4 linked regions of the Arabidopsis thaliana genome follow. The protein of the gene in region 1 interacts with the protein of each later gene in a biochemical or structural test. Each region holds a gene or a part of one and is shown in the gene's direction. Other genes may lie near its edges. The genes, in order: MPK2, AT3G27290, MYB57 and KAN.

What was found.
Region 2: of the proteins of MPK2 (region 1) and AT3G27290, one has a biochemical effect on the other in vitro, tested with the Arabidopsis thaliana proteins (one large-scale study listed by BioGRID).
Region 3: of the proteins of MPK2 (region 1) and MYB57, one has a biochemical effect on the other in vitro, tested with the Arabidopsis thaliana proteins (one large-scale study listed by BioGRID).
Region 4: of the proteins of MPK2 (region 1) and KAN, one has a biochemical effect on the other in vitro, tested with the Arabidopsis thaliana proteins (one large-scale study listed by BioGRID).

Annotation. Positions count from the first base shown.
Region 1 is NC_003070.9:21,881,986-21,886,726, forward strand, and holds MPK2 (mitogen-activated protein kinase homolog 2), read left to right. Parts: upstream 1-2,032; 5' UTR 2,033-2,222; intron 2,223-2,524; 5' UTR 2,525-2,535; coding exon 2,536-2,958; intron 2,959-3,050; coding exon 3,051-3,758; 3' UTR 3,759-4,066; downstream 4,067-4,741. Other genes in the region: ZCF61 (E3 Ubiquitin ligase family protein), read left to right, coding at 49-173, 254-349, 426-566, 655-720, 796-908, 995-1,126, 1,213-1,256, 1,364-1,442 and 1 more.
Region 2 is NC_003074.8:10,078,916-10,083,629, reverse strand, and holds AT3G27290 (RNI-like superfamily protein), read left to right. Parts: upstream 1-2,096; 5' UTR 2,097-2,364; coding exon 2,365-3,030; intron 3,031-3,109; coding exon 3,110-3,592; 3' UTR 3,593-4,168; downstream 4,169-4,714. Other genes in the region: G6PD5 (glucose-6-phosphate dehydrogenase 5), read left to right, coding at 145-312.
Region 3 is NC_003074.8:209,471-213,642, reverse strand, and holds MYB57 (myb domain protein 57), read left to right. Parts: upstream 1-1,838; 5' UTR 1,839-2,491; coding exon 2,492-2,663; intron 2,664-2,749; coding exon 2,750-2,879; intron 2,880-2,972; coding exon 2,973-3,291; 3' UTR 3,292-3,524; downstream 3,525-4,172. Other genes in the region: DRH1 (DEAD box RNA helicase 1), read left to right, coding at 24-332, 431-566; AT3G01520 (Adenine nucleotide alpha hydrolases-like superfamily protein), read right to left, coding at 3,722-3,830, 4,165-4,172. UniProt on the Arabidopsis thaliana protein: Transcription factor acting redundantly with MYB21 and MYB24 to control stamen filament elongation in the late developed flowers. Repressed at the transcript levels by DELLA proteins.
Region 4 is NC_003076.8:5,406,195-5,413,631, reverse strand, and holds KAN (Homeodomain-like superfamily protein), read left to right. Parts: upstream 1-1,865; 5' UTR 1,866-2,539; coding exon 2,540-3,269; intron 3,270-3,373; coding exon 3,374-3,450; intron 3,451-4,332; coding exon 4,333-4,378; intron 4,379-5,255; coding exon 5,256-5,403; intron 5,404-5,957; coding exon 5,958-6,066; intron 6,067-6,165; coding exon 6,166-6,267; 3' UTR 6,268-6,769; downstream 6,770-7,437. Other genes in the region: AT5G16550 (voltage-dependent L-type calcium channel subunit), read right to left, coding at 6,991-7,148, 7,258-7,437. UniProt on the Arabidopsis thaliana protein: Transcriptional repressor that regulates lateral organ polarity. Promotes lateral organ abaxial identity by repressing the adaxial regulator ASYMMETRIC LEAVES2 (AS2) in abaxial cells. Required for abaxial identity in both leaves and carpels.

The DNA of each region.
Region 1 (4,741 bases):
GGTGGATGGGTTTTGGTTATGTGTTTGATATCATTCGTTTTTATTCAGAACAATTAGTAGAAGTAGAGAGCAAGGTGGTACCTTTGATCATCGCAGTATCAGGAGATGTTGGCTCTGAGACTCCTATTAAGTGTGAGCATAGTTATGTTCTCGGTGTATTTCTCAAGAGAACGGTATGTATGAATTGGATTAGATAATCTAGTTTTTCGTTTCTGTGATTTTGGATATGTTAAAAAGAAACGATTTTTTTCAGGCAGAACAACAGGTTTTGAGACGTAATTGGAGATTTTCATGGGTTCGAAATAGTACATTGATGCAGCCGATGACTAAGGAAGTCCCCTGGTATCTGGTATGTCTGTTGGACTTTGATTGGAGTGTATTACTTTCTAAAGTCATTTACAAAATATGATATTGGTTGCCTATAGGACGACGGGACAGGTCGTGTGAATGTAGATGTATCTCAAGGTGAATTAGGCTTGGCGTTGACGGTTGGTAGTGATGTATTTGAAAAGGCAGAGCCGGTATCGCTTGTTCAAGGAGCGTTGGGTTATCTTAAAGGCTTTAAGGTCTTTTCTTTTCCTTTCCTACCACTTTTCATTGATTTGCTTTTGTTTTGACAATGCTTATACATTGTGGCACCATTGTTGTCTATAGATACTTGGAGTAAGACACGTTGAGCGTGTTGTCCCAATTGGTACACCGCTTACAGTTGTTGGTGAGGTATGTCTTTTATCTGTTAGCGGTCCAAAATACGTTTTATATCTCTCTTTGTTATGTTGCTTACCATGTTAACAGGCTGTTAGGGATGGCATGGGGAATGTCAGGATTCAAAAACCTGAGCAAGGACCTTTCTACGTCACTTATATACCGCTAGATCAGCTCATCTCTAAATTGGGAGATTTGTCAAGGTTGTTTCTTTTCTCTGTTTTTGCCTATTCTTTTCTTCGAAAACTATGATTGAAAAAAATTCTAAAAGATCTCTTTCTTTTGGCAGGAGGTTCAAGTATGCCTCCATGGGTTTAACTGTTCTTGGTGTGATTCTTATTTCAAAGCCTGTGATTGAATATATTCTAAAGAGAATTGAAGATACTCTAGAAAGAAGGCGGCGACAATTCGCACTGAAAAGGTATGACGCACCCTAACCACAGCCACGTATGAAGTATTCATTGCGAGTTGCGAGTTGCGAGTTAAGTGTTGGGTAACTTGTTGCAGAGTTGTTGATGCAGCTGCTAGGAGAGCCAAACCAGTAACTGGAGGTAGTAATAGTATCTATCCATTAGAGTTTGTACTTTGTAGTAGTAACATGTGAATCCTTTTTCTGCATACACTTGGAATTGCTCTGCTTACAAAAACGTCTTACCAGGTGGTACAAGCAGAGATGGTGATACACCTGATCTCTGTGTGGTTTGCCTTGACCAGAAGTATAACACCGCTTTTGTTGAGTAAGTATAAGACCGCTTTTCTTCTAAAAGCTCTTGAAAACCCTCTCACTGATCAAACATGGCATCTTTTGATTCCTCTTTTTGTTTGGTTTGGACTTGTAGGTGTGGTCATATGTGCTGCTGCACACCATGCTCCTTGCAACTAAGGACCTGTCCTCTTTGCCGGGAACGAATACAACAAGTTTTGAAAATTTACCGCCATTGAAGGACAAAACTCAGAACGATTTTTACAAGCGAACAATTACTAGTCTTGTACATATAGTAAAGCCTTTGTATCATGAGTTTTTGACTAGAAATTTTTTTGCATTGATAGATTGTGATTGAACAAATGCTAATATAAATTTCAAGCTTAGATTTACATTTACTAATGAAGTTATATAATCACGTTTCGATGTTAAAATAAGAAGTGAAAAAACGTGAACGGCAGGATTCGAACCTGCGCGGGCAAAGCCCACATGATTTCTAGTCATGCCCGATAACCACTCCGGCACGTCCACTTTTTGTTAATTCCTCACTATCTTAAATATCTAATTACCGTTAATTATTACAAATCAGGTTGGGCTTAATTAAGCCCAAAGTTAAAGACAGATTAGTGAAGGAGACAGAGAAAGAAACAGCTCTAAAATGGTAATGAACGAGAAACTAGAGAGTCAACGGTCATAGCGTTGACCAAATCTCTCACTCTCACCAGCCAAATCTCTCCAACTTCCTCTTTCTCTCCACCCAAATCTCGCCGGCGATCGTCACTGACGAATCTGATTCGTCCCCAACACTCAACGGGTAAGCTCTCTCTGCAAAATTCAGATCGTTCTAGCTCAATCTCAACATCGGATCAAGATTCAACTTTTGTTCTTTTCTCTTAAACAAAGCTTTTGATCATTAGTGAAATCTAAAATATTAACCTTTGAATCTGTAAACTTAAGCTTAGAGAACCCTAAGATCAAAACTAAAAATTTGATCTTTCATTGTCACTTGTTGGAAGCAATTCAAAATTCTGTGTTGTGTATATTTTCAAATTTGTGGATTGTTCCAATTTCGATAAAGTTTTGATTTTTATTCCTTTTGTTGTGTGTTTTTATAAGGAGGTAGAAGAATGGCGACTCCTGTTGATCCACCTAATGGAATTAGGAATCAAGGGAAGCATTACTTCTCAATGTGGCAAACACTTTTCGAGATCGATACCAAATACGTGCCTATCAAACCGATAGGCCGAGGCGCGTACGGTGTGGTTTGCTCTTCGGTTAACAGAGAGAGTAATGAGAGAGTGGCGATCAAGAAGATCCACAATGTGTTTGAGAATAGGATTGATGCGTTGAGGACTCTTAGGGAGCTCAAGCTTCTACGTCATCTTCGACATGAGAATGTGGTTGCTCTTAAAGATGTAATGATGGCTAATCATAAGAGAAGCTTTAAGGATGTTTATCTTGTTTATGAGCTTATGGATACTGATCTTCATCAGATTATTAAGTCTTCTCAAGTTCTAAGTAATGACCATTGCCAATACTTCTTGTTCCAGGTATGTGATTTGTTTGCATTTGCTTTTACCATTAGTGTGTGTTGTTTGCATTTGGTGTTTGCATTTACTTGCTTTTTATTTCTTTTGCATAGTTGCTTCGAGGGCTCAAGTATATTCATTCAGCAAACATTCTCCATCGGGATCTGAAACCCGGTAACCTCCTTGTGAATGCAAACTGCGACTTAAAGATATGTGACTTTGGGCTAGCGAGGACGAGCAACACCAAAGGTCAGTTCATGACTGAATATGTTGTGACTAGATGGTACCGAGCACCAGAGCTACTCCTCTGTTGTGACAACTATGGAACCTCCATTGATGTCTGGTCAGTCGGTTGCATATTCGCCGAGCTTCTTGGAAGAAAACCAGTATTCCCGGGAACAGAATGTCTAAACCAGATTAAACTCATCATTAACATTTTGGGTAGCCAGAGAGAGGAAGATCTCGAGTTTATAGATAACCCAAAAGCCAAAAGATACATAGAATCACTCCCTTACTCACCAGGGATATCATTCTCTCGTCTTTACCCGGGTGCAAATGTTTTAGCCATTGATCTGCTTCAGAAAATGCTCGTTCTTGACCCTTCGAAAAGGATTAGTGTCACGGAAGCGCTTCAACATCCTTACATGGCGCCTTTATATGACCCGAGTGCAAATCCTCCTGCTCAAGTTCCTATTGATCTCGATGTAGATGAAGACGAGGATTTGGGAGCAGAGATGATAAGAGAATTAATGTGGAAGGAAATGATTCATTATCATCCAGAAGCTGCTACCATAAACAACAATGAGGTCTCTGAGTTTTGAGATCAAGTCTTTTGCAGGTACTGTTCAGAGAGATCTTTCAACAACTTAAACTTATTTATTTTCATGTTTGCTTCTTGAAATGTTGTTAATAATAGTGTCGAAGAAGAAGAACAATAACTTTAAATTATGTGATATGTTTGTGTCATGGAGCTTTGTTTTGTTTTTGGTTACAAGCTTAAGTGTCTGTAACGTTTGTACATAAGTGTATGTGTCCTTAAAACTTCATACTCTGTCTCTGATCTTATTGTTGGTGATTTTTCTTATTGAAGATTTTCGAATGTTCAAAGAGCAAACCATTGGATTAAATATGATTTTGAAGATAAATGTATTAACACAAAGATATACACTGTTTAAAAAAATTCATGAAATAAAACATATGCATAGAATATCAAAATAAAATTATTTGGGAAATAATTTTCAATGATACATAGAATGTTCCATAGATTCGTAGAATTTTTATAAATGTGTTTTTGACTTTCATGTACCTAATTCTGAATTCAGACTTAGTATATTGTGACATTAATAGAAGTATTAATTGCTTTGTTTGATAAAAATATTTTGATGTCTATCACACACTTAAATTTAACTTAAATGATAGAAAAAATGTCAATAATTAGTAACATTTATGCTTTGGAAAAATATTTTGATGAACAGCGTGTGAATAAGAATCTTTTTTTACTTTTGTAAATGGAAAAATGTAGGACTGCACTAATTATTGAAACCATTGATGTGAAAAAAAAATCAAGAGCCAAAGAGATAAAGATTCTAGAAGACCAAGTCAAGTCTTCTCGTCGATTAATAGTCAATGAATGTTCCTCATCATCATCTCTTTGATTTATGCGTTTGATGTCATTGAGTCATTTCTATACCATTCCGCCAAAAATTCGTTTTAGTTATCCATATGAAATTGCGGTTGGACTATTAAGTCTATAATTTGATTAAACTAATAAGCATATGATGATGAAGCAGTTTATACTTGTAAA
Region 2 (4,714 bases), on another chromosome or scaffold:
TAATTTTACCTTTCTACTTCACCACTTAGAACCCCTGGATACTTCACATCACTCAACTTTGTTTGAAACTTCCACAATCTGATTTTTACCATATATTGAGAAGATCTTTAAACACATATATGTATGTGATCAATCACAAAACAGGCAGCTTGGGAAATCTTCACTCCACTGCTTCACAGGATCGACAAGGGAGAAGTGAAATCGGTCCCATACAAACAAGGTAGCCGTGGCCCAGCGGAAGCAGATCAGCTACTTAAGAAAGCTGGTTATATGCAGACTCATGGCTACATTTGGATCCCTCCTACATTGTAAATGGTATAATCATAGAGATGATGATGATGAGTACACACAAAATAAGAGGGTTTTTTTTCTTTTTTTTCCTTGCTTGCTGAATAAAAACTCTTCACCAGTTTGGAGTTTGTTTAAGTGAATCTTATGTATACTAGTGATCTTCACTAGGACATTGTTTGTTTATGCCTTGTAGTTTTTGTTGTACTAGTCCCTTGTTTTCTTTTTTTACATAATGCAAAACAGCTTTGTGGAAAAGCTAATTAAATTAAGAGATCTTATTCTGCTTAATAGAGGATTGAATCTCATGAATTCGACGTATACACACAGAATAACTGCTCTTGTTATTAAAAGAGAAATTGAACTAGATAGAATTTTAATTAAGAAATTGGCAATAATACTTACTAAAATAAATTAAAACACGACGAAAAAAAAAAAAAAAAAAAATTAAAACACATTACGACTGTTTCATTCTCTTTCATTTTAAATGATGTTTAACTTTTTTGACCGCAAATCTATATATACATTTTTGCAGCCATTTTGTGAAATAAATCCTGCAATTAGAACTTATTTACAATGGCTGCCACTGACTTATTAAATGCAAAAATTAACTACCAAATCAAAGCAAATCTTATTCAAAAGAATATGCTTTTATTTCATGGCCTAATTATTTTTGTCAAAATAGTTAAAATATTTAAAAATTAAATAACCATTTGAAAGAAAACTTTAAATTGATTTAAATTATAAATTTTTTAATAAAAATATTATTAAAAAAAATAAAAAAATAATTTCACCGAACATGATTAGATAGTAGGACTAGATGGTAGGACGTGTTTATAATATTATAATATATAAACTTTATAATAATTAAATAACCATTTGAAAAAAAACTTTTAAATTGATTTGAATTAAATATTTTTTAAACTAAAGTATTATTAAAACAAAAATAACAAAATAATGTCTAATTTTACTGAACGGGGTTTGTGGTAGGAAGGGTTTGGTCGATAGTATTACGAGACGGTATACCACAAGTGAAATCTATTAGATATGTTTAATTTCAATATGCAGGATTAGATGGTATGACGAGTTTTGATCGATAATAATACGAAACGATATACTACGGATGAAATCCTAGATATAACAACTAAAATCTATATATACATTATCTTAAACACTAAACAAAGCAAACAATATTAATAAAACAAATATTTACATATACATTTTATATAACAAATTTTATTAAAAACCTAGCCCCGCGGTATACCGCGGGTCAAAATCTAGTGATGTTTAACTGTTTAAGGGTTCTAGTTAATTTAAGGGTACAAAGTTAAACATCATTTAATAAGCTGCTTCCATTGGTTCTAGTTAATTTATTTACTCACGAAAATACCAAATTTTAAAATAAAAGTATATTCATAAATATTTAAAATAAAAGTATAATTATTTAACAACAATCAAGAAGTCATTCACTTAATTAAATTATCAAATCTTGCCCTTTAACAAAAATTCCTTTATTAAAAAGTGCAAAATCTATAATAAGTAAATAACTTCTTAATTTTTGTTCACAAAATGGCAAATTACTTAATACAATAGTTAATCAATAGGATTATGGACAAGGAATAAAACTAATAACCCAAAAAAATAGAAGATCCTGCAAATTTGAAAAGATTATAAATTAGAAGATCTGACTTATAAAGAAAAAAAAAAGAGTGAATGAAAATATCTAATTTAGAGACGTAATCATTAATTAGAATTTAAAAAGAAGAAAAAAAACTCATTAATTATTTGTTCTTATTAAATTAGAAGTTATAGTTAGACACGCGCCAAAATCGCAACAGAGTAAAAGCCCTAAAAAAAGTCATCTTCTTTGCAATTGAAACTCTTTCTCTGATTCCTTCTTCTTCTTCTTCCTCTTCCTCTCGAATCCTTTCTCTTTCCTTTTTCCCGCTGATTACGCGATCCCGTTCCTTCTCATTCATTCATTCATTCATTCATTCTCTCGCCGTTTTTTTATATATTTATTTCATTGGATCTGTTTCAGATTTCGATTTCCTTAATTCATTGAGAGATTCGTTAATGGAGGTTAATTACGAAAGGCTTCGAGGTTCTTATAACGATTACAGAAAATTAGAATTGGGTTTAGGCGAATTTGGGGATGATTTTGTGGGTTTGCCTGATGATCCTTTTTGTATGAACATTAGATCGACTTTGAATTCAATCTCAGATTGGTTTCATGAGAATCAGATTGGTTTAGTCTCAGAAGATCATACTTTGCCTGAGGATCCGTTTTGTATGAGAGTTAGATCGACTTTGAACACAATCTCTGATTGGTTTCATGAGAATCAGAAAGAAATTGGTGTTGTTGATCAGATGTTGTTCGAGACTCTAAGTTGGTTTTATAATAATGATGATGATGATGGTGATGATGATGATGATGGTGGTGGTGGTGGTGAAGCTCATGACGCGTTTGAGTTGGTTCTTCCATATCTAGAGTTGAAAGAGATTCTTGCGGTTGAAGTAGTTTGTAGGTCTTTGCGTGATTCGGTTGGAAAGGAACCTTTTTTCTGGACAAGTATTGATCTTAATGACTCATTTCTTCAATATAGAGTTACTGATGAGTCTCTTTTGAAGTTAACACGCCGTGCTCTAGGCGGTGTTCGATGTTTGAATCTTGGAGGATGTGTTGGTATCACTGATTATGGCTTGAAGCAAGTTCTTGCTAGCAATCCACATCTTACTAAGGTTAGTTTGATCGAATGATGGAACCAATCTTGTTATATGATTCTGTGTTGTTTGTTCATGTGTGTCTGTTTTTTTGCAGCTGAGTGTATCTGGTTGTCTTAGACTAAGCACAGCAGGACTAGTGTCAACTTTAAGGGACTTAAAATCTTCAAACCGTCTTGGAGTCAAAAGCCTAATCACTGGTGGGGCGTTGTATTTCACAAAGGAGCAGTTTAAAGAGCTCAACTTATTGCTAGGAGGAGATGCTAAAGTGGGTTTACAAGAGAGGAAGAAGAGATTCTATACGTCTTGTAGATCAGAATTCTATTTAGAGGATGATCGAGTTACTGACCTCGAGATATGCCCCTGGTGTGAGAAACCAAGTCTGGTATTTGATTGTCCAGCAGATACATGTCCATTGAAGGGTCAATATCCTTATTCTAAGTCATCTTGCAGAGCTTGCGTTGTCTGCATAGAACGTTGCCATGAGTGTGGGAGTTGCTTAAATGACTGTGAAAACAAGCCGTTCTGTTTTGCATTCAGCTGTGTGGTATGCATTGAGAAGAGGTCTAACCGCTTATAATAGTTTATTTGAAGTCAAAACCGAAGCTTAACACATTACTTTGATCCTCAATACACTGTTTTCTGAAGAATGAAGAGTCTTGGTGCTTGAGGTATCAAACCTAAGTCAATAAGAAGAGCTGCAACAAAAAATGGAAACATGATAAGACTCAGAAGGGTGTTTAGTCTTCATCTACAGCATCATGAAAGATCTGAGCTAAACTTGATTCTGCAACGGACTCGAGTCAAACTTGATCATGAGAGATGAAGAGAAGCAAAGACTAGAGCTTTACTTGAAAGTTGAAGCACCAGGATTCAAATGGGAAATAAGTAGAACTTACAAGAAAAGAGAAGAGAATAAAGAATATATCAGAGTTATTTTACATTATCATTAATTAGTCTTTTAATCTCCTCCATATGTAGCTTTTGTTAAATGACTTGTATAATTTTCAAAATGGATCAATCTCTTATCAATCCACTCCTGCTTGTACATTCCCTGGAAACATGAGCCCATGATCACAAACTTTCATTGCAAGATCTCCCAACCATCCTCACTAGTCACTTCATCCAAACCTAGTTTACTTAATAATACCTCTCATATTCCAATACTTATTCGCAGTTTGTACATCCAGTGTATAATGCATAATATCATGTAGGTAATTATTACGTTTAAATAACATATTTTTAATAAAGAAACATATCAAAGTTATATGAAAAAAGAGAATTATGATATAAATTAATAATGAATGTTTCTTTTCATTAAACAATTTCATAGGCATTTTTTACGGATTATCTCTCATTTCTTCTTCTATTTTTAGAAATAATAATTCCTGATATATAGCAATATGACACTTAGATTTATTATTCATAAAACACTCTATTAACAAAGAAAAATAAAAACTTATAAAAGGAAAAACAAAATGTCTAAAAGTTTGATTTATAATGATAGATGCTTAATGCAACAAAAAAAAAAGGTGTTATTTGCGGTTAAACTTTTGGTTTATAAATTACAAGATATACAAATATTGAAAAAATGGAACTTCTTATACTCATTTAAAAAAAAAATTAAGGAAATTTGTCAAAATTGTAATTTAGCTGTAAAATAAATCACTACAAGGAGATAAAATCGTAAATAATATTAAAT
Region 3 (4,172 bases), on another chromosome or scaffold:
GCTAATACGATTTGAGATCACAGGGCGGTCGTAAACTATGATTTCCCCAATGGAGTGGAAGACTATGTTCATAGAATCGGAAGAACAGGAAGAGCTGGAGCGACTGGTCAGGCATTCACATTCTTTGGTGATCAAGATTCGAAACATGCTTCGGATCTGATCAAGATTTTGGAAGGAGCAAACCAGCGAGTTCCTCCTCAGATCCGCGAAATGGCTACACGTGGTGGTGGGGGAATGAACAAATTCAGTCGTTGGGGACCTCCTTCCGGCGGCCGTGGTCGTGGTGGCGACTCTGGTTATGGTGGCAGAGGTAGCTTTGCTTCCCGTGACAGGTAAAATTAACATAGGACCTCATCTTCGTAAATTTATCTCTGTATGCCACTGAAAATATGATTGTGAGTTTGAGATTGTATAAATTTTTGATGTAAAGTAGAAGCAGCAATGGATGGGGAAGAGAGCGAGAAAGGAGCCGTAGCCCTGAGAGATTCAACAGAGCTCCACCACCGTCTTCCACCGGATCTCCTCCTCGCAGCTTCCACGAGACGATGATGATGAAACACAGATGAAAAGAGAGATACAAAGCTCTGATAAAGCCAAGTGACAGAAGATTGTGTTGTGGGGGATTTCCCTTATCATTGTGACATTATATATTTTTTGGCCGATGAAGAAACAAAAGAAAAAAAAACAAGACCAAGAAGACTGTTCCCTCCCATTGGAAATTTACGCTCAAAACTACAATTGATATCTTACAGTTTGTATTTCATCTTATTTATTATTGCAGCTCAGAGATTGGTAAGAATGTTTCATTAGATACGAACGACTTTCTTCTAATACTGTGGGATTCTCTAGCATTTAAATTACAAATCAAAGTGGTAATATTATGATTTCGGTTTAGTATTGTTAGATTTGGTTTAGTGTAGTTCGATTTGATAAACTGATTCTACCCAATCGAAATAATCAAATTAAAAACCCAAGTAATATCTTAATCCAAATACGAGCTGAACAAAATCACAACTATCTAAAAGCATTAAAAAAAAAAAAAAAACTTGGATTATTTATGTGTATTTCATTTTCAAAAGTGTCATATTATAAAAATTAAGAAATAAAAATGAACATTAGAAAAAGAAGTTTGGTGAGTCTATGGCTTAGATGAAAGTGTATGTCTTGTGTACTTTGATGATAATATAATTGAGGACAGCCTATTAATCTCCAAATAGACTCTTGTTTTTTGTGGTTACAAATTAATTTTCCTTTTACAACTAAACGAATCATGAACTCCTACAATCTAAAATCAAAGCTCACACTACATGTTCACACATGGCTTATCTTCACTATCAATATTAATCTTTCATTGATTGTTAGGAGATTACTCTTTTAGGAGTTTATCCTTAATAAATCATCATCAACCAAAGTACAAACTAACATTATAAAATCATTATACATAGAATGACAGTTCAAGGTTTTTTTTTACGAATTATAGTAAACCAACTATTATTTAGTTTTAAACTTCAGTTAGTGTATGTGTTGGTTAAATCATCAAACTCAAAATATACGATAAGTAGTTGGTTAAATTATTCTTGAAAAAGAATATTAATAACCCAATTTTTATACTCTCTTACAATAATTTAATTGAATTGTAAGCTGACACATCATTTAGATTTCCAGCCACAAAACCTCACTTACTAAATTTGGCATATGAATTACACCAAACCTTCTCAATTAATTGCCCAAAAGCAAACGCTATTACAACTTTCATTTCATTTTCTCTATCTATACTACTTATATTTTCTTTGTATAAAATGTAAACTCGTTAACACACACAAACAAAAAAAGATAACGTTGAAAAAAATAAAACACATATTTCAGACTGTAGTTTAGATGTGGTAAAATATAGCAAGAATATAAAAATATCAATATAAGTTTCAAAATTTAGAGAAGAAAGAACTTCATTGATTGTGAGTTCTAAATAAATAATGGTTAGTATATATTAGTGATAGAGGGTTAGGAAGAAGTCGTTATATACATAAACTCAGTGTAATGTTTCTGTCAAGCTTTGCTTTGATTTAAGATTGTACTTTCTTCCTTCTCACTGTTTACAATTCGTGTGGTCGTGAACTAATCACGCCAAGTTCTCTCGTTTAATTATTAATTTGATGTTTAGTTTTTCTTGGCAACTTTAGAGTTATATATATGATTAAGTTTTGTAATCAAATACTTCATATTTTCATTGATTTTGCATATTAATGCATATGTTTTCATAAAAAAAGAAAAACGAGTGTAAAGTTATTGATAGTTTCTGTTACTTATTAATTTTTAAGGTTATGTGTATTATTACCAATTGGAGGACTATATAGTCGCAAGTCTCAACCCTATAAAAGAAAACATTCGTCGATCATCTTCCCGCCTCGAGTATCTCTCTCTCTCTCTCTCTTCTCTGTTTTCTTTATTGATTGCATAGACAAAAATACACACATACACAACAGAAAGAAAGATGGAGACGACGATGAAGAAGAAAGGGAGAGTGAAAGCGACAATAACGTCACAGAAAGAAGAAGAAGGAACAGTGAGAAAAGGACCTTGGACTATGGAAGAAGATTTCATCCTCTTTAATTACATCCTTAATCATGGTGAAGGTCTTTGGAACTCTGTCGCCAAAGCCTCTGGTATGCTTTTTTGCACGTATTCAAATCATGTTTTGATGATGTTTTCTATGTATATAACTAAATTTTGTTTTTATTTTGTTAATAAGGTCTAAAACGTACTGGAAAAAGTTGTCGGCTCCGGTGGCTGAACTATCTCCGACCAGATGTGCGGCGAGGGAACATAACCGAAGAAGAACAGCTTTTGATCATTCAGCTTCATGCTAAGCTTGGAAACAGGTCTTATATAGTTTCACTAATTAGTACATGCATACGTAAATCAAATCTTAAACCTAATTTTATGTTGCTAAGTAATATTATAATATGCATTAGGTGGTCGAAGATTGCGAAGCATCTTCCGGGAAGAACGGACAACGAGATAAAGAACTTCTGGAGGACAAAGATTCAGAGACACATGAAAGTGTCATCGGAAAATATGATGAATCATCAACATCATTGTTCGGGAAACTCACAGAGCTCGGGGATGACGACGCAAGGCAGCTCCGGCAAAGCCATAGACACGGCTGAGAGCTTCTCTCAGGCGAAGACGACGACGTTTAATGTGGTGGAACAACAGTCAAACGAGAATTACTGGAACGTTGAAGATCTGTGGCCCGTCCACTTGCTTAATGGTGACCACCATGTGATTTAAGATATATATATAGACCTCCTATACATTTATATGCCCCAGCTGGGTTTTTTTGTATGGTACGTTATTTGGTTTTTCTATTGCTGAAATGTCGTTGCATTTAATTTACATACGAAAAGTGCATTAAATCATTAAATCTTCAATACATATGGAGGTGGTGTTTGAGTAACTTCTGGTCGTTAAAGCATATATACTACTGTACTCTTTTTTTTTCTTTCAAATTGTTGTTGTTTTTGATGTTTGGACTCTTTCAAAGAAACCAAATATATAGCAGTTTGGTTCAGTTTGAAAACCAATTCAGAAAACGGAACAAGCTGCACACACACATACATACACAGATACAAATACATATAGGGGTAGGAATTTGGATTTTGTACACACAAAAGCACTCTCTCTCTGTATAGATCAAAGAAGGAAGGGACGTTGTTATTGTTTAGTCATCAGCTGGATCACTGGGAGTTTCATCGGCATTGCGTTTGATCGTCATAACTGGACACTCCGCATGTTTCACACAGAACGCACTCACAGTCCCCACAAAGACCCTGCAAAGCAAACCCATGTTATAACAAAACCCATCACGATTCAAAACAACAGCAATAGTAGTAACTTAGACTCTATAGTTTCAAGTTATGCCTGGCTCAATGTTTGTATAACTTAGAATGACAATTCCTTTGTTTGGCTCTGTTCCTGCCCCGTCTTGAACTAAATCTATTTAACTCAAACTTGTGTCAAGATCAAGAATCCTACCTATCTGTAATCCTTTATAGCAGTTAAAGTCTGATTGCTATTCATCATTCAGTCTAATAACTAGTTGATGATATATAGGGGTAAAGTAATGACTAATAAGTCATGAATGTGTTTGAGTATTATACGCACTTTTGAAA
Region 4 (7,437 bases), on another chromosome or scaffold:
GTTTAACTCACATGCAGCAAAACGTCTAAAAACTGCAAGCATACTGTACTTCTTTACTTTCCAATAATTAAAATTTATATCTAATAAGAAAAATATATATTACTGTATAATCAACGAATAAAATCTCACTTATTTAAATTTCCTGATATATAAACATAGTCTTACAATTTATCATATTTTTATTTCAAGGCATTAATGATTTGTCGAGATGTTGTATTGATATGGTCATGTGAGGAGTGAATAGTTTATTTTTTTTCTTAGAAGACAATTTAAAGAAAATTAGAAAAGAGTTATTAAATTGAGAAGGAATATTTGGGAGAATGAAAAGGGAATTAGAAGCAAATATTTAGGTTCTTTAGGGTTCACTTGTTTTTGTTTATTAAGGGAAACAAACAAAATCCACTTTCTGGCTGAGTATTTTCTTAGGTCTAATATATATTTAACTTCACGTATAATCTAAAAGCATGCATGTTACGTTACAATAATTGATCGAATTCTTTATATGACACTTGGTTTATATACGTACGAGGGCACCTTGTATTGTACACACGTATGCATATATGTATGTATTTGAAGAGAAAGATACTTTCTAAGACAATAATTTCCGTACCTTTGGAAGGCAAAACACAGAGTTTATATATTCCAAATTAAAAGTGGGATAAAAAAATATAATAATTCTTTGACAAAAACATACGAATAGTTAAATACTATTCAATTTTGTATATTTTTCATTATTTTTCAGTATGACATATTTCTGTTTCACAGTAGATAAAGTCAACTCCATAATTTTTTTTGTAGAATTATAAACGAACAATGTGAATGTAAAAATGTCGAGTACAAAGAAAACAGAAACACTAGAATGCATACATTATTACATTCGACACAAACAAGTCAAAAATATATATAAATCTGCCTAATTTTATTTCTTTTCAAGTACGTATTTTAAAGCGACATGTATATGACTTCGATTTGGCTCTAATTGATAGACAACACAAAACGGTCAAACAAGTAGCCGGTTGATATTGTAGTCACATCTCTAGGAACTAAATGTCTATACGAGCTATTCATAAACTCAAGAACGTACTGATATTTAATGTATATTTATCTCTTTAGGTATAGTTGAACAATCTACGGTCAGAAACTTGAATTTGTTTGATTCCAAAATCGTATAAGGAATTATTATAATAAGATGTGAATAGAGAGTGAAGTGAGAAGCGAAGAGAGTGGGGGAGAAAATAAAAAAGGAGTCAGAGAGGACACAGTCTCTTTCTCTCTCTCAAGTCTCAACATATGTATCCCGTCGTCTCCGGGGTACCAAAATCAAAGCACTCTCTCTTTTTTTATTTTATTTTTTTTTGGTTATAATGAAACTTTTTATTTATTTTAGAATAGGTCTTGTGTTTGTTTTTTTCTTCTTGTTATTTATTTATTTAATTTAATTTTGGCTTTTGCTTTGACTATAGATTAGATAGGACAGAAGAGAGCGACCCTTTATTCTCTCTCCTCTTGTACTCTTCTCCAACATTTTTAATTATTATTCTTCATGATAATCTGTGAACATTATTATTTTAAAGATCAATTGAGTTTTTGATTTATTACTCAAATTGTTAAGGTTTTAATGGATGATAATCGTATTAATTTTTATTGTTAAAAGTTGTATGCTTTTCATCTATGAAATTGGTCGATTATTAAATACACTTTACATTTGAAAATTTCATCTACTAAATTGATAGAAAACAAGATTTATTTTGCTATTATTCTTCAACTTTATCTATGGAAATCAAAATTTCAGTAGTTTAAACGAATAAACTAAAACATGAAATCAATTAATCTAGCCGTAAAATAATTTATATTATATTGATAGATGGGTTTACTTGTTGAAAGGTGAAAAAGACAAATTGAAATACCATCCCAAAATAAAATAAAAAGCTTCCAATATTTGGAATATAGCGAATGACAATATTACCCTTTCTCAACTATCGTTTTCCAAGATATACTCTCGAGGAACAACATCTCACACATACACATACACATACATGTACATGAACGAACACACATATATCTCTCTCTCTTACCTGTTTTTAATTTTCCTGGATTTAGTTTTATTCCTTTTTTCTCTTCTGCCTTTGCTTCACAACACACATACCTCTCTCTATCTCTCTCTTCCTTCTTTTTCTCTCTCTCTGCGTCTTACTTTGAGCATGTTTGTTTCTTCAAGAAGATCATCACTCAACTTCTCTCTCTTCTTCTAAGCTTCTCTTTAACTTCATCTCTCTCACTTTCTCCTTTCTTTCTGAGATATAGAGAGAGAAAGAGAACAAAAAAAATATCAAATCTTTCAGACACCCTTTTGACTTCTTTGCCTAAAGAATCTCTCTGCTTTCTCTTCTCCTTAGAGAAAATCATTTTAAATTCCTAAGCAAAACCCTCAGGAGAAAAAAAAAACAAAAGAATAGTCATCATCATCATCACCATCATCATCCTTATCATCATCAACAACTTCAGTGGCAGCAATAGCAAGAGAAAGGTTTCTTTAATTATGTCTATGGAAGGTGTTTTTCTAGAGAAAACCAAAACAAACACAACAACTACTCTCCCTGATCTATCTCTCCACATCAGTCTCCCAGATATTCATCAATACCATCACAATGAATCTTCTAAAGAATCTTCAAGAAGATCCTCCCAACTCGAAAACAACAACCGATCGTCCAACTTTGAACTCTCTTTATCTCATCATAACCATCCAACAGCAAGAATCTTCCATTGTCCTGATCGAAGAACCCTTAATCTTCCTCATCAGCAGCATTACAACAACCCTATCATCAATGGTGTTCATCAAAGGGTCGATGAATCCGAGATTAGTAATCTCCACCGTCCAATTAGAGGCATCCCGGTCTATCACAACCGTTCATTCCCTTTCCACCAACAAAACTCTTCATTACCTTCTCTTGGAGGAGGAGACATGGATCAAATCTCAATCTTAAACTCATCTTCCGGCTACAACAACGCTTACCGATCATTACAATCTTCCCCGAGGCTTAAAGGTGTTCCTTTGCATCATCATCATCATCATAATCAGTATGGAGTCGTTGGATCTTCAGATTCGTCTTCTCCTCATCACCATAACCATCATCATCATGGGATGATCAGATCAAGATTCTTGCCTAAGATGCCGACAAAGCGAAGCATGAGAGCTCCAAGGATGCGTTGGACTAGTAGCCTCCACGCGCGGTTTGTTCACGCTGTTGAGCTTCTAGGCGGCCATGAAAGTACACATTTATATCATAATCACATTCTAATGATCATTCCCATTTTTCTTCACTTTATTCTCAAAGTCTTAAATCTTTTATTCTTGTTGTTGTTGTGATTCTAGGAGCAACTCCAAAGTCGGTTCTTGAGCTCATGGATGTAAAAGACTTAACTTTAGCACATGTGAAGAGCCATTTGCAGGTATAATCTATACTCTATTTGAAATTAAATTAGACACAACAAAGAATCAATTTTTATTTGTTAATTTAGGTTTAATCTAGTCGAGTTAGTTCGTTACCAATCAAGATTTTCTATAATTAGGGATATTTCATAGTTTTCATCACCATCATGTCACTCTCTTCTCCTTTGCGTTTTGCACAAAAACAGCTGAATCAAGAAACAAGGTTTTTGTGTACGTATATATCATCAGAGCAATGAATAGAGCTCCAATTCTGATGTGTTACTTTTATTTTCTTGTTTTGTCTTTGCTTTAAGTTTAGTCATATTTTGGAAGAGATGGCACAATTGCCAAGAAAATTGAAGCAGTTGAATGAATTTAAAGAGAGAAAAAGAGAGAGTAGTTATAGCTTTAAGTGACTGAAACCTTTCAGAGAATTATTAAACAATGGAGAATTGAGATGATAGATAGAAGTTATTTTGGATTATAATTCATTTTTTCTTTTTTAAATTAGGAAGAGGGGACAAAAGTAGTCATCATTACTCAATGATAATAATACAATCTTTCTATTACTCAACCTTCTTTCAGACATCAACCTCGTGGTCTTAAAATCATAAATAATTAATTATATATACATCATCAGTTCCAAGACAAACCCAGAAAACCACACATATGTACTACATATATTATTTATTTAATAATATAAAGTTCATATGTGTCTGCATATATCTCTCCAGTTTGTCATCTGTAATTCTGTATCACATTATACAAAAATAAATCTATTTAGTTTATCAGTATCTTTTGTCCGATATTTATTTTGGTTTTTTCCTGTGTCTTTAATTGGATTTATGGTTTATTCTAGTTTTAGAGCTCTCATCATGCCTTTAATTTTTTTTTTTTTGCAGATGTATCGAACTGTTAAGACCACTAACAAGCCTGCTGCTTCATCAGGTACGTGTGATTCCTTTACACACACACACACATATAATGTTATGCATATTCACATTTCTTTAGTATAGCTTTTTTCAGCTTTATATATGCTAAAGAAATGGTACTGGCTTTTAATAAGAAAGATATACAATTCACCAAAAAATAACATAAGACAGATATACAATAAAGCTTAGGATTCTCCACCAGAATTTTATAGAAATGGAGGTCCAATATAATCACTATTATAGCTTTTTTTGACTACAATATTTATAAGAAATTAGTTCTCAATCAGAATTTGAAGCTGTGATTCGATATTTGTATGTATGTAGAGATATAATGACGTGAAATTATTTCTGTTATTTTTACTATTTGATTCTACTATTTCTACTATTCCCTTTCCCCAAAATAATAAAAAACGAGCCCTAAGATATTGGTCAAGCTCAAGGCTTTTATCCTTCCTTTGATTGAACCCTAAAGTTGAGTGGTCAAAGTTCAAAGCAAACCAAACAAACATATATCCCCAATATTGATGTTCTCTAAGAAAAAAAAATCGAGTAAAAGATTAAATTTAAAACGTGTGAAGTGTAAACTCATATCCAAGCAAAGTTCATGAATTAAGAATAAAGAAAAACCACTTGTTTCATATGGATTTTCTTTAACCAATTAAAAGTTTATTTGGCACAATTTTCGAGTCTGTAAAACTATTTTTTGAGACACATATTAGGTTGGTCAACACGAAATGCTGAAATTATTTTTTAAGAAAAACAATTTCTTCACTGCATTGTCTTTTACAAAAAAGCTTACAAGAATCGTTCAGTTTTAAATGAGATTCCTTATAGGGTATAAGTGATTGATTTGAGACAACGAAACTTGATAAAAAGTTAAAATAAAATTTCAGATGGGTCAGGAGAAGAAGAAATGGGCATAAATGGAAACGAAGTTCATCATCAATCATCGACGGATCAAAGGGCACAATCTGATGATACTTCTCTTCATCAAGAAACTGACATTTCTTCCACACAACCTCGTTGGAGTAACTCTTCACGGTACGTTTACGTATATACGTACATGTATTATACACACGATAAGTATATATAAACATTAGGTAAGAATAAGATTGACGAAATTTGAGATAGGGTTTAGGGTTCTCTCACCTAATTGTTCCTACTTCCTACCAAGTAATTCATACGACAATTGTTTGGTTTATCCCACATCTATCCATTTTCTTCTAACAAAAATAGTTTTTAGATGATATTTTAAGTTTGTTTTCGTTCAGTTTAAGGGGAAAAAATTTGAGTGATGGTTTTGGTTACAATGAGATGAAATTGGTTAGGGTTTATGGCTGATGAACTTTAATTATATGTACCAAGTTTTTTTTTTTAATTATAATTTGGTTTGGGTTCTTAAGATTCATCTAGGAAGACTAGGATAAACGAATTTTGCTTCATAAGTATGACATGTAGATTGTGGTCATATAGCAAGTTGCAAAAAAACGCAATTTGTGTGTAGTGATTTTTATTTTATTTTTAGGGCATCTATACATCAATAAATACAATTTGTCCTTAATTTGTTTTCTTTCTTTTCTTAAATCATAAAATAGAGAGACATGGCCATTAAGTAATAACTGCTCAAGCGACATAGATACAATGATCAGAACTTCATCAACATCAATGATCTCTCATTATCAAAGATCCAGCATTCAAAATCAGGTTCTGATAATTCCCATCTAATCATATTTGTATAGATAGATATTGCCTTTCTTAGTGTTTTTTTTGTCCTTTAATCTAATATAAAGTTAAAATTGGCAGGAGCAAAGGTCGAATGATCAAGCAAAGAGGTGTGGAAATCTTAGTTGTGAAAATCCAAGTTTGGAGTTTACATTAGGCAGACCAGATTGGCACGAGAAATGACTTTCTTGATCAATTTGGATTTTTATATATATTGGATTTTTTATTTTTTTGTTTCATCTTTCTCTCTCTATATATACTCAGAAACATGTATGCAGTATATATCTTTGTGACGATGAAATTCTCAGCGTAAAAGAAGGAGAACACGTAGAGAGCCAAGCTGCTCAAGAGTGTTGATTTTTGCACAGAGAGAGAGAATATCACTACCAAAATGAAGAAATTTGGAGGTTCCTCTTCTCAAGTTCCATTGATGATTTGATTATAAAGTGGATGATCAATGTATGAGTTTTTGTTTTTGGGTTTTCGGGTTTTTAGTTTTTTGAGGTTGATCTGGTGGTGTGATCATAAGTTATATAATTGGAAGATCATCAAAATGTGGTGAAAGTTTGGATATTTTTTTGAAAGCCTCTTGGTTGGCTAGAGGGTTTCAAGTTTTTTTTTTTTTTTTTGCAGCCGAAATGTAGAGAGAGGGAGAGATCTGAGTTGAGATTTCATATGGATACTGATCATTATTCTTTCTTAAGTACATAAAACACACAATGTATGCATACATAGATCCAAAAATCCGTAGACATTGATCACAAAATGTTTCAAGTTGCATTTTGAAATATTCTTATCATTCTTTCTCTGCTTCTTCACAACAAACTCCATAGATCATATTTATATCAAGCTTCCATTAACAACCAAAAGTCGGGGTTTATTTACAAACGCGGTAAGGACGGATTCTCAGTTGGTTGATTCGATGTTTACCTCCCGGTCTTGGTGTTGATGACGACTGATAGTGTTACCTGAAATGGCTGATCCCACCACTGAAACCGATTGCTTAGCCAAGCGTAGGCTTCCTCTTGTTCCCAACCACACCGCATAGAAAAACCCAATCCAACCTGATCCAATACCAAATTCATTTCATTCTTCAATACATATAGGAAGTAACTTGGAGTGTCACTCATTACAAGATTCCAAAACAGAATCAGAGCAGAGTATATAACCAACCTGAAGCTATTAAGACAGAAACGACAGCAGAAACTGTAGCGGTAGAGATGACGAATGCAGCAACGGATAAGGCTCCAATGTAAACACCAGTCAAGCAGAGAAAGAAGAGTGCCAAGAAGCCACCAGCAACAGCAAGTGAAATCAGAAGAGAGATTATGATAGCATTGGCTGTTGCAGCTA